2 linked regions of the Caenorhabditis elegans genome follow. The protein of the gene in region 1 interacts with the protein of each later gene in a biochemical or structural test. Each region holds a gene or a part of one and is shown in the gene's direction. Other genes may lie near its edges. The genes, in order: F41H10.3 and prmt-1.

Region 1 (7,430 bases):
AATCTTGTCGATTCTTCGATTTCGGCAATTCCAATGAATCCATCAGATCGGGAATTTCTATCAACAACGATGGCTTCATGTCTTGGAGCAGCGAAATTAGATGGTGCTCTTTTCGGAATAATGATTGCGAGAAGGCAAATCGCAGCGATGGTTAGATTTAAGGTGGGATGATAAAAAATAGAGATTAATTTAATTTTTGATTTATGTTTCAGAAATATATGATTCATCCTCGTGATTTGAACATTGTCATCAACCTTGTCTCTGATAATACTCTACAAACAGACTCCCAGAATTGGGTTCCAATCTGTCTGCCACGGTTCAATGACACAGGATTTTTCTACGCCTACATATCGTATCCATGGTGCAATAAAGAGCAAGATATTCCTGTGTGCATTGTGCTTCTTTCGGTGAAACGAGATCATTTCGATGGGCTCAAGGAAGTTCGACAACAAATTGTGACGAAGTTGGAAAATAATCAAAAGTTCTTTGTTAACTTTGCACAGGCGATGAAGACGCCGAATCTTTATCAAATATCACAAATCGGATCGAATTCCGAATCGCTTTGGTCGTTTTTGTATTTAAATCATTCTTCAAAGCAAGTCTGTATGTCAGCCTCAAAGTGAGTTAGCCTCTAAATGTTCCATTAATTATATGCGCTCTATTATTTCAGAATTCCCCTAATAACACGTGACGAACGATGGATTGCTCGTTCAGAAATGCGTCGATCTTCATCATTATCATCTCTCCATCCACATCTTCGAACTCTTTTCGTACGTGGCACCAAACATTGTCTTTTTGTTTGGGTCACTGATCTCTTTTCACTTTACTGCATATTCGGACCATTTGTCACCGCAACAATCGCATTCCAAGTCGTCGAAAAGCTTCTGAAATCGCTGAAATCTCACGAACAACGATATTTTATCATTAATTCAACATCCTTTTAATTTTCAACTGTTTGTAAAAATTGTGATACTTAAAACGTTTACGTGTTTTCTAACCACAGATTTTAATTTGCCAATATATTTTTACTGCCCTTCAAATTGCCAAAAAAGATCAAGTAGAAATTAATAAAGCGAACCTCTCATTCATTACTGTTTACAGCAAGTGTAATACGTCTTAAATGACGTCCTATGATCTAATGTACTTATTAAACAAAGTTATTGGAAAGAATAGGGAAAAGTATCGATTAAAACGTACACATTTCGAATTGATGTTGGGGGAAGCGGAGTGTGTTTGAAGGAGTCTCGCTCGTCTCTATATCTCTGCACTCTCCGCTTCTCACACACTCTTTCGCCGTCATTTCGGCCGTGTCCCCCACTTCGTCGGTTTATTCTACCCGCCTTCTCCTTCACCATCGCTTTTTCCTCGTCCACCAACACGCGCTCTTTGAATTTCTAGCTGATGGCTATGGCAACCAGAAACCTGTGACATTTTAGTTTTGCATGAAAACTTTTTGATTTTCAAACGAAATTTGTTTTCAATGAAGAGAAACGCATAGTATTTTGAAAACTTCCATTTTTCAACGCCTGCCCATTTTTTTAAAATTTGGTTCAACTTTAAAATAGTTTAAAGTTTTTTTTTAAATTTAAGCTCGAGCTTTTTCTCCTCAATTTGTCGCAATTTTTTAATTGTAAAAACAATTTTTTTTTGTAATTAGCTAAACTTATTCCTATAAAAATCCTGAAACGCCGCTTGCACTTTCACTATACGAATAACTCTTTATATTATGTTTTTGATGGGTATTAGAACAATTTAAAAGCACCCTTTCACACATAACAAAAGATTTCTGGGCACGAAAAAAAACAAATTAGCATGGATTTCTATCTGAAAACGCCTGAAAATCGATTTTTTCTGCTATTAGTCCAATGGAGCGCACTTCCTGACCCCATCATTTTTTGTATTTTTTCGAATTTCCCATCGTTTTTAGGCCAAATTTTTTGTATTAATAATCTTAATTTCTAGTTTTCTTTGCTTTTATCTTTTCTTCAAGTCATTTCAATCCTCATATCACTATTTTCAGCTCAAAAATGTCGTACCGCGTGTTTTCACGCGTCGATCCCCATGTGCCATCGACATCCACAGCTCCACAGCGTCGTTTTCAAGAAAACTTGCAAAAATTCAAGCGATTTTTTCCGCCAAACGCACCACCAACACTCTGGGAAGTTTGCTCCTCGAAACAACGCAGCAAATCATTGAAAAACACGTTTCAAACGGTAAGTTGATCAGAAAAAAAAACTGAAGGAACGAAAATCAATCATGTCGAAGCTTGCAGGAAGTACGTGCACTACGAGGACTTAATTTTACAGTATTGCTGAATCCGTACAAAGTAAGTTTTAAGAAATTCCACAAAAGAACCATAAATTTTTGTTCAGAACTATCTCAATGATCTCACAAATCTATCCGGTTTCACCTTCGATGATCTTTGTCAAGCACTTCGATTCTTTGCATTTTATGTGAGTTTTGAGTTTTAAAAAAAATCAGACGAATATTGAAATGTTTCAGAGAAAACAGCCAGTTTTGAAGTCAAATATGGAAGATGCTAACGAATTATTTCGATTAATTGCAAGTTGCATCATTTATTCAAATGATAACTGGAGGGCGTCCATCGATAAATCAACACTAGTGGATACGCTGTCAATGAACATTTTGGAGGTAAAGAAAATGCAAAATATTCCTTCAGAATACAATAAATTCATAATTTTCAGAAGCAGAGGCTTAAGAATCTGAAACAAGAATCATCTGAACAAAAAGATCCAATATACCCACCACTATTCCAAGATGATGAGCTACCTTCTGTTCCAATACAAATTGGCAGATTGAAAGACAGAGAAAAAGTACCAATTCCTCCGCCTCCTTGTAGAAATGATTTTTCGATGCGACAATTTAATCCGTTGGAAGATGAACATTTACGATCAATGCACCTGTGGAATCATGTTGGGTGTAATGATGCAAAATTCAATGGGCCATTTGAGAGAACTATCAAAATGATGTCTAAGAATAATGTTGCGGTTTGTTTAACATTGAATTTATTTTTAAAATAATAATGATAAATTTTAGATTCGCTCCAAAGATCGACGATTGAGCGATGTGGAATATTACGGAGACAATGAAGATTTACCATCCACACATATCAGTTTTAGATTAGATTCTGTGATGCAATTGATTAACTTTGATTTCCCCAAAATTGAAGATGATGGTGAGTACCACTTTTTCCGTTTTTTTTTTAAGAGAAAAGTCAATTTAAATTAATTTTTCAATAAAAACGAGCTGAAAATTGATGAAAAAACAGGTAAAATAAAACCGTGCGGCAACATTGCGAAAACGCGTGCCGCGGAAAGGCAACTCCGCGGCGCGCGCTTCCGCAACCCGCCGCATAGTTTTTTTGCATATTGTTCATCTCATTTTTTATAATAAATTTTCAATTTTTGTTGATTTTATCAAGCTTACCTATCAAAATCTTGAAAAATAATATTTAGAATGGCTATATTACTTAAATCCGAAGAAATTTCGTGAGAAACAATTGAAATTAAGATGCGTTGCGATTTATTTCAAAAAATATCTGAATTTATGCCAAATATTTGAAAAATCTCCCAAAAGACCTGAAAATTTTGATTTCAGGATATTTCTCCAAAGAATGTCTGGATAGTGCATGGTATCTCTACGAGAATTATCAAACTGCTCTTCATGAATGCACAACTGCTTTCGCAGTTATCCGACCTCCATCTGGACGTACAATCAAGCCGGGATTCGTTGAAGATGGCCTAACTACAGACGAATGTTCAGAATTTCATATGATGGGACGACATATTCATGGATTTTTCCAAGTATGGAGGGAAGAGGATCGTGGATGGAGAGAATCAAATGGAAAATGGGTCCCACGGCGATATTTGGTGGATATCTACAATCATATTATGTTTCCATTATTCGTAAAATGGGAACTTTGGCCGTCAACATTGAAATGGGCTTTTGATAAGTACAGCTTGTATGGATTAAGACTAATGTCAATGATTAGAAGACATCCACAAGAATTGTTGAATGCTGGAGAGAACTTATTTTCGAGGTATCCATCGCATTTGTTGGAATCGAATAGATATGATATGAGCACTACGAAAGGACGGAATCAGTATTTATCAGCAATTCAAATGGAGAATAATCGAGTTGTGGACAAGCATATGCACAGTTCGGTAGGTTTTTTTTCGACGAGAAATTATATACATGACAATGAATTAAAATATAAATTTTCAGGCTTACAAGCTTCTTATCGAAGAGGACGGAAGAAGGAGAAAGAGGAAACCGAAGGATGAAGCTCTACTCGGAGTTGCTGCAAAAGTACGAACACCTCGAAAAGTTCTTGAGCCACCTCTATTTGCTCCAACTCGATTTATTTCTTCATCAACTCCAAAACAACGCGCCCTGCTTGTTCAAAAAGAGAATTTGGAGAAAACAATGATTAATCAAGTGCCACCAGTTGTAAATACACCACCATCCCCACAACAGACTGCTTCACAACTCAAAAAGACGCCAACTTCGGCTACAAAACGTCATTTACCGGAAATTGAGCAAGAATTGAAGTCGGAATCTGTCCCAGCTCCACCACCAACCAAGAAAATGTCAATTATAGCTGACAGTTGGGATGATCATGTTGGTAATTCGATGGAAGAAGAACATGTAGATGAGAAGGATTCGGAGAAAATGGAAGATTCAGAAGGAAGACAGAATGTTTGGGTTCCACAGGATCGAGGAAAAGAATATGCACCTGAACAATATGCGCGAGATATTATCGAACATTGTAAGTTTTGACGAAAATCCGTTACTCGGTCCCAATTTTTTTAAATTTTCCTCAGAAAAAAATTTAATAATATTTTCCAAAGGTATTTTCTAAAATAATTTCCCAGCCGAACTTTCAGATATTCCTGCTGCTCGAGATCATCCACCTCAACCACAACAACCACCACCTCCACTACCAACGCCGAAGCCTCCACGAAGACGGAAATCCGGTCAGAAAACTGATCAAACGACTCCATCATCAGACGCCGAAGCTTCATCCGATCCTGCACCGCCTGTTCCTGCTGCTCCAGTGGCTCCTGTTGTTCCAATTGTTCCAATTGTTCCAGTTCATCCTGTACCTTTGCCAAACGGAAGTGTAAATACTCCAAAAGTGAAGACGATTGCAAAGACAACAGCACGAGTACTGTATTCCATTAAACCTCAAATACCACCAATTGCGAACAAAACTGTGTATCCTGTCAAGAAGTTGACACCTTCTGTAGTTCCGTCTCCAATGATTTTAAATGGAAATACTGCAACTGCAAGTCCATCGAAAAATGCAGCATCTGTAGTTGTCAGAAATGCATATACATTTTCATTACAGCAAAAAGCTCCATGTTAGTTTTTGTTAAACAAATATGCGAACCTGCTTGAAATTATTTTTCAGATTATCCAGCTGGAATGCGTCCGAAACCAACTCAAAATGGAATTGAAACACCTCCGACAGGAGCACAATCTTTAATGCGTGCAGCCTTCTATAGTGAGAGTCATCCTACACGAAGTCCCCTCGTCCCGTATGGTTTTGTTCCTCCAGTTGCCACATCATCTACTTTTGTACCTGCTGCAACAATACCATCACCTGCTAGCCGAGCAATAGCTCATCAGAAGCAAATGCTCTTAAATACGGAAACGTGTCGACGCGTTATGCCGTTTAATATTCAAATGGGTGAGTATTATGGATTTAAAAGAAAATTGAGCTCAAGGAAAAACTTGTAGGTTATCCAAATTTGTTTGCTTCTCTATCTCTATCTCTCTCTCTCTCTCACCTTTAAAAAAAATTTCCATAATTTCTCAATTTCTGAGTGTTGTGTCGTGGTGCTCATTAAATCCGTCCATTTCAGCATTCAAACCACGTCGTTGGGATCCTCTTCCGAAATCTTCTGGTGTTTTGGCTCATTCAAATTCAACAATACCATATGTTCAGCGAGTCCCCAACAACTCAACACAATCAGACTTTCGGCCGAGAAGCTTCAGTCAAAATAGTGTTGCTTCCCCGGCTCCTGCTCCTGTTCCAAATGCAATAAAGAGAAGAGAAGTAGGGAATTTAAAATCTCGGCAGTATGTGCCATGGATCGCAAATAGCAGGGCGTTGGTGGCAGCGGCGATGGCAACGATGGAGGAGACGGCTGAAAAGATGTCTTCGAGCCCGTTACTATCGTCACAGGCTCCGATGACAACTTTGATGCCAACTCCTCCTCCTCCGGCTCCGGCTCCTGCTCAAGCATCTGCACAATCAACATCAGCAACTCCAGCATTGGTGGATACAATATCGGCTGGTTCAACGACTACAGAAACAACTACAGGCGATTCAAATCAGTCAAAGTGAGTTTTTGAATTTTTTAATGAAAAAATATGCAGACTGGTTCGAAATAATTTTCAAAAAATTGGCATCCTTACCTTTTTCAAACCAAATATTTTCAGTCCTCCTTTACGGACGTACACATCACACATTCGAAAAACTCCTGGAACAACACTGACACCTGAAGAAATCGGCGACGCGATTCGAACTGAAAGTCAAAGATTTCAAGAGGATGGTGATGAAGGGCCAACAGTGAAAAGCTTCCTAATGAACATCTACAAATGATGGGATTTTTCTTTCATTATTGATTTATTGTTAATTATTTATTCCCCACTCCCTTTAAAAACTAATTTTTGTATCACTGTTATAACTCCGGTGTATATTTGTTTCCTCTTCCATCCCGTGTTCTTCCACTATTCTCTCATACTTATGATCTTCAGTTTATTTCGACTCTTTCTTGGTATTTCACTATTACGGCTTCCATTTTATTGTGTTGTTTTCTTTTATTATTATCATTCATATGTTATCAGCATATTTAAATAAATGTGCATTTAAATTAAAGTCCCGTCTTAGTTAGTTAGCCTTCTTTGTTTGAGTTTTTGCCTGATCCTTTGCCAAATTGTACTTTTTGCCTCCATTCTTAAGATAGTGCTCTTTGTAGAATCTGAAATTCACTTTATAATTTCTTTCAGTTTTTTAATGCTCAAACTTACTGAATCCATAGATAGAAGTAGGTAGTAAGCATGAAAAATCCGATAGCTGTTCCTCTGAACGAGTAGGCTAATCCTTCAACTCCCTCAACATAGTGTTTATAGGAAACATGAACTTGTGCGAAAATGGCAACTGCGAATTGAACCATTTGAGATGTGGTGATTGCTTGAGCAACTGATGGTGGAATTGGAACTTTCAGAGATTTCAGAAGATAGTATCCATACATGAATGCATGAATAATATAATTCATCCATACAACCCAAACCATATGGACAGCATCCTCATGGTAGCAGACAAGAGCATAGTAACCGGTCAATGCGTGATGGTACCTGGAATTAATTGGAATTATAGATGGGACAATACCTTTTTGAAT
Region 2 (4,803 bases), on another chromosome or scaffold:
ATCAGGTTTTTGCAGAAAAAAAGTTTGGCGCTGCTAATTCAATTTGGGGCGCTGCTAACACTACAAACTACAAGTTTTGGGCGCTGCTAATTCAATTTTGGGCGCTGCTAACACTACAAACTACAAGTTTTGGGCGCTGCTAATCCGGATTTCGAGCTGTTAATGGGAATTTTATCGAAATTTCTGCATTTTTTTCGTAAATTTCGGCACGAAAACTAAATTATAGTCGGTTTTCGCCGCAAAAATCACAATTTTATATGTTTTTCTGACTGTTTTTGGTGCAAAACTGAATTTTTGGCAATTTTTAAATTAAAAATTGAATAAAAATCGATTTTTTGAAGATTTTTACGGCAAAAATAGCATTGTAATGCATTTTCCTAACTAAATTTGGCGAAAAATAATTCAAAAAAATGTTATTTTATCAGGTTTTTGCAGAAAAAAAGTTTGGCGCTGCTAATTCAATTTTGGGCGCTGCTAACACTATAAACTACAAGTTTTGGGCGCTGCTAATCCAGATTTCGAGCTGTTAATGGGAATTTTATCGAAATTTCTGCATTTTTTTCGTAAATTTCGGCACGAAAACTAAATTATAGTCGGTTTTCACCGCAAAAATCACAATTTTATATGTTTTTCTGACTTTTTTGGGTGAAAAACTGAATTTTTGGCAATTTTTAGATTAAAAATTGAATAATTACGGCTTTTTTGACAGAAAAATTTATTATTTTTTCTATTTTAATGATTTTTCTCGCTAAATTTGGCGAAAAACGACTAAAAACTGTAATTTAATTGGATTTTTCTCAAAAAAATGGTTTGGCGCTGCTAACATTACAAACTACAAGTTTTGGGCGCTGCTAATTCAATTTTGGGCGCTGCTAAAACTACAAACTACAAGATTTGGGCGCTGCTAATTCAATTTTGGGCGCTGCTAAGACTACAAACTACAAGTTTTGGGCGCTGCTAATTCAATTTTGGGCGCTGCTAAAACTACAAACTACAAGATTTGGGCGCTGCTAATTCAATTTTGGGCGCTGCTAAAACTACAAACTACAAGATTTGGGCGCTGCTAATCCGGATTTCGAGCTGTTAATGGGACTGTTATTGAATTTTTTGCATTTTTCCGTAAATTTAAAAAGTAAAGGTAAAGGTTGTCCGTTTGGTTCAAGGGTGAGCCTAAGCCTCCTGCGGACAAGAGAGATTTTATTCGTTTTTCTGACTGTTTTTGGTGAAAAACTATTTTTTTTAATCAGATTTTTTGCAAAAAAAACTTGGTAGTCGAGCCTTTTTGTAGTTTTTTAACAATTTTTTGGTCTTTTTTGGGCAAAAAACCAACTAACACGCTCCTTGCAGCAGCTCCACGATTTTCGGCGACTCCGGCATGTCCAAAATGGCATGTTTGATCTTTTCTCGAATCGCCACCACGCTTTTTTGCCAATCTTTGTTGCAATGACGACGGGAAACCAGCCAATCTAAAGTTTTTGCGGTGTTTTTTGGGTTAAAATTAATGGATAACGAGTTACCAAGCAATTTACTGCTGTGAATATCGATTGGCAAGTCGTCTGACATGATTTTTTATCTGAAAAATTAAAATTTTAACTTAAAATTCAATTTTAAATTCAGAAATCTCCCAAAAAAAGAAGAAAATTTCGATGGAAAAATACACGTCAGCCACTGCGTAAATCGACACAAATTTAAAGGCGCATGCGGTTTCGTGTGTGTTGGGTCTCGCAACGCCCGCATTTTTAGGTGTTGATTTGAAATGAGTTTTCCTTTTTTTTTCGTCTTTTTCACTCGAATTTCATGATTTTCAGTTGATTTTCAATTGATTTTTTGGTTTTTTTTGCTGAAAATTAATTATTTTTTGATTAAAAAGCTTTTCGAACAAGAAAATACATGAATTTTGGCCCTAAAAGTGGATTTCAGAGCATGTGGATCTCACATTAATTAATTTAATAATTAACCTTTTTCCAGCGGGACAATGAGTACCGAAAACGGGAAGTCCGCAGATGCGCCGGTGGCGGCACCGGCTGCAAAAGAGTTGACCAGCAAGGACTACTACTTCGACTCGTACGCTCACTTCGGTATCCACGAGGAGATGCTCAAGGACGAGGTGCGAACCACCACCTACCGGAACTCGATCTATCATAACTCGCACTTGTTCAAAGACAAAGTTGTGATGGATGTTGGCTCGGGAACTGGAATTCTTTCCATGTTCGCCGCCAAGGCTGGAGCGAAGAAGGTTTTCGCGGTGAGTTTTTTTTGGATTTTTTGAACGGTTTTTAAAAATTTCCTTTTCCTTCAGATGGAATTCTCCAACATGGCGCTCACCTCCCGCAAAATAATCGCCGACAACAACCTGGACCACATCGTCGAGGTGATTCAGGCGAAGGTAGAGGACGTTCACGAGTTGCCAGGAGGCATTGAGAAGGTCGATATCATCATTTCCGAGTGGATGGGATACTGCTTGTTCTACGAGTCGATGCTCAACACTGTGCTCGTCGCCCGCGATAGATGGTTGGCTCCGAATGGAATGTTGTTCCCGGACAAGGCTCGTCTCTACGTCTGTGCTATCGAGGATCGTCAGTACAAGGAGGACAAGATCCACTGGTGGGATTCAGTCTACGGATTCAACATGTCCGCTATCAAGAACGTCGCGATCAAGGAGCCACTCGTCGATATCGTCGACAACGCTCAGGTCAACACCAACAATTGTCTGCTGAAGGACGTTGATTTGTACACCGTTAAAATCGAGGATCTCACGTTCAAATCGGACTTTAAGCTGAGATGCACTCGCAGCGACTATATTCAAGCTTTCGTCACCTTCTTCACCGTCGAGTTCTCCAAGTGCCACAAGAAAACCGGATTCTCGACTGGGCCAGATGTACAGTACACTCATTGGAAGCAGACCGTCTTTTATCTTAAAGTATGCGCTTAAAAATAACTTTTTTTCGGGTTAAATACCATTTTTCAACAGTTTTTCACCAAATTTAGTCAGTAAATGGTAAAAACTTCGATTTTTGGGCTGAAAATCGACCTTTTCACAGTTTTTGAAACAAAATTCGCCAAAAAATTAAGAAAACATGAATTAGCAGCCCCCAAAACTCGTAGTTTGTAGCTTAGCGGCGCCCAAAACTCGTAGTTTGTAGTTTAGCAGCGCCCAAATCTTGTAGTTTGTAGCTTAGCAGCGCCCAAAACTCGTAGTTTGTAGTCTAGCAGCGCCCACAATCGTAGTTTGTAGCTTAGCAGCGCCCAAATCTTGTAGTTTGTAGCTTAGCAGCGCCCAAAGCTCGTAGTTTGTAGCTTAGCAGCGCGCAAAACTCGTAGTTTGTAGTTTAGCAGCGCCCAAATCTTGTAGTTTGTAGCTTAGAAGCGCCCAAAACTCGTAGTTTGTAGTCTAGCAGCGCCCACAATCGTAGTTTGTAGCTTAGCAGCGCCCAAAATTAAATTAGCAGCGCCCAAATCTTGTAGTTTGTAGTCTAGCAGCGCCCAAAATCGTAGTTTGTAGCTTAGCAGCGCCCAAAACTAGTAGTTTGTAGTTTAGCAGCTCCCAAAAGCGAATTAGCAGCGCCCAAAAGCTTGTAGTTTGTAGTTTAGCAGCGCCCAAATCTTGTAATTTTGTAGTTTAGCAGCGCCCAAAACTAGTAGTTTGTAGTAGTCTTAAGTATTAAATTTGTGTTTTTTTAAAGATTTTTGCACGAATTTTGCACTTTTCTATCGATTTTTCGAGTAAAAACCGGATTTTCTGACTGAAACCGGGGTTTTTAGGCAAAAAGTTGTATTTTTCACTAATTTTCGTTAGCTAGAAAAACCCAGTTTTGTTTTAATAAAAAAGAAAAAAAATTGCAATTTTCACATCATCTTTGACTTCAAATTCGACACTTTCGATTCAAATTTTATTTTTTTTTTCAATTTTTCGATTTTTTCAGGACGCGCTCACAGTAAAGAAAGGCGAGGAAATAACCGGATCATTCGAGATGGCACCAAACAAGAACAACGAACGTGACTTGGATATCAACATTTCGTTCGATTTCAAGGGAGAAGTGTGTGATCTCAACGAGCAGAACACCTACACCATGCACTAATTTTTGCTGTTTTTTTTTTCGTCTTTTTTCTCACACTTTTTTGCCCCCAATTTTTACACTTTGTTGATCCCCCGTTGTTCCCCCCGAAACCTCCCGATTTCCGCAGATACTCGATTGTATATACCTCGATGCGGGTTGTTGTCGCGCACCTCCTCTATCCGCGCGCACGCTCACTCTGCTCGGTACTCCATTTGTTGACCTTTTTCCATAAAAAAAAATCTGCCAAAATTCAAGTTTTTTGCAATTTTTAAGCGATTTTATAATTTATAGGTTACGCAGCCTTTAGATATATTTTTAATATTCAATCAATAGTGAGCAGCGCCAAAAGAAAAACCGAAAAATTATTTTTAAAAAAGTTTAGCACAAAAAAAATGGAAGACGGCGATGAAGTGGTGGAGCCTATCGAGCCGGAATCCGAAGACATTGTGAATCTCACAAAACGACTAGGAGTGGATCTCGTGCTGGAATCCAATGATGACTGGAAAATCCAGGAAATCGGATTTGACGGTGTGGAGAGGTACCTGCAGCCCGAGACGTTCACTGATCATGTTGGAAAATTGGCTCGGAAGGTGGAATGGACGAAGCTAGTGGGCACAAAATCGCCTTATGAAAATTCGAAGGTTGATCCCGAAGATGAACTCGATGATGAGGTAGAAGCCGGCGAAAATCAAGAAAAATCGAATAATTTTCGGGAAAAAGTCAGAAAATCATCGATTTTCAGGCT

Evidence for each region.
Region 2: of the proteins of F41H10.3 (region 1) and prmt-1, one has a biochemical effect on the other in vitro, tested with the Caenorhabditis elegans proteins (one study listed by BioGRID).

What each region holds. Positions count from the first base shown.
Region 1 is NC_003282.8:5,367,779-5,375,208, forward strand, and holds F41H10.3 (RNA-directed RNA polymerase), read left to right. Parts: upstream 1-2,027; coding exon 2,028-2,213; intron 2,214-2,272; coding exon 2,273-2,326; intron 2,327-2,372; coding exon 2,373-2,453; intron 2,454-2,502; coding exon 2,503-2,652; intron 2,653-2,705; coding exon 2,706-3,008; intron 3,009-3,057; coding exon 3,058-3,196; intron 3,197-3,618; coding exon 3,619-4,184; intron 4,185-4,245; coding exon 4,246-4,789; intron 4,790-4,895; coding exon 4,896-5,384; intron 5,385-5,434; coding exon 5,435-5,713; intron 5,714-5,888; coding exon 5,889-6,369; intron 6,370-6,468; coding exon 6,469-6,631; 3' UTR 6,632-6,907; downstream 6,908-7,430. Other genes in the region: sand-1 (Vacuolar fusion protein MON1 homolog), read left to right, coding at 1-162, 213-619, 671-944; elo-5 (Long chain fatty acid elongase 5), read right to left, coding at 6,920-7,010, 7,060-7,386.
Region 2 is NC_003283.11:20,266,877-20,271,679, reverse strand, and holds prmt-1 (Protein arginine N-methyltransferase 1), read left to right. Parts: upstream 1-1,968; 5' UTR 1,969-1,975; coding exon 1,976-2,245; intron 2,246-2,299; coding exon 2,300-2,920; intron 2,921-3,923; coding exon 3,924-4,079; 3' UTR 4,080-4,303; downstream 4,304-4,803. Other genes in the region: cdkr-3 (CDK5RAP3 protein homolog), read right to left, coding at 1,335-1,466, 1,518-1,563; mdt-17 (Mediator of RNA polymerase II transcription subunit 17), read left to right, coding at 4,451-4,729. UniProt on the Caenorhabditis elegans protein: Arginine methyltransferase that methylates (mono and asymmetric dimethylation) the guanidino nitrogens of arginyl residues present in target proteins.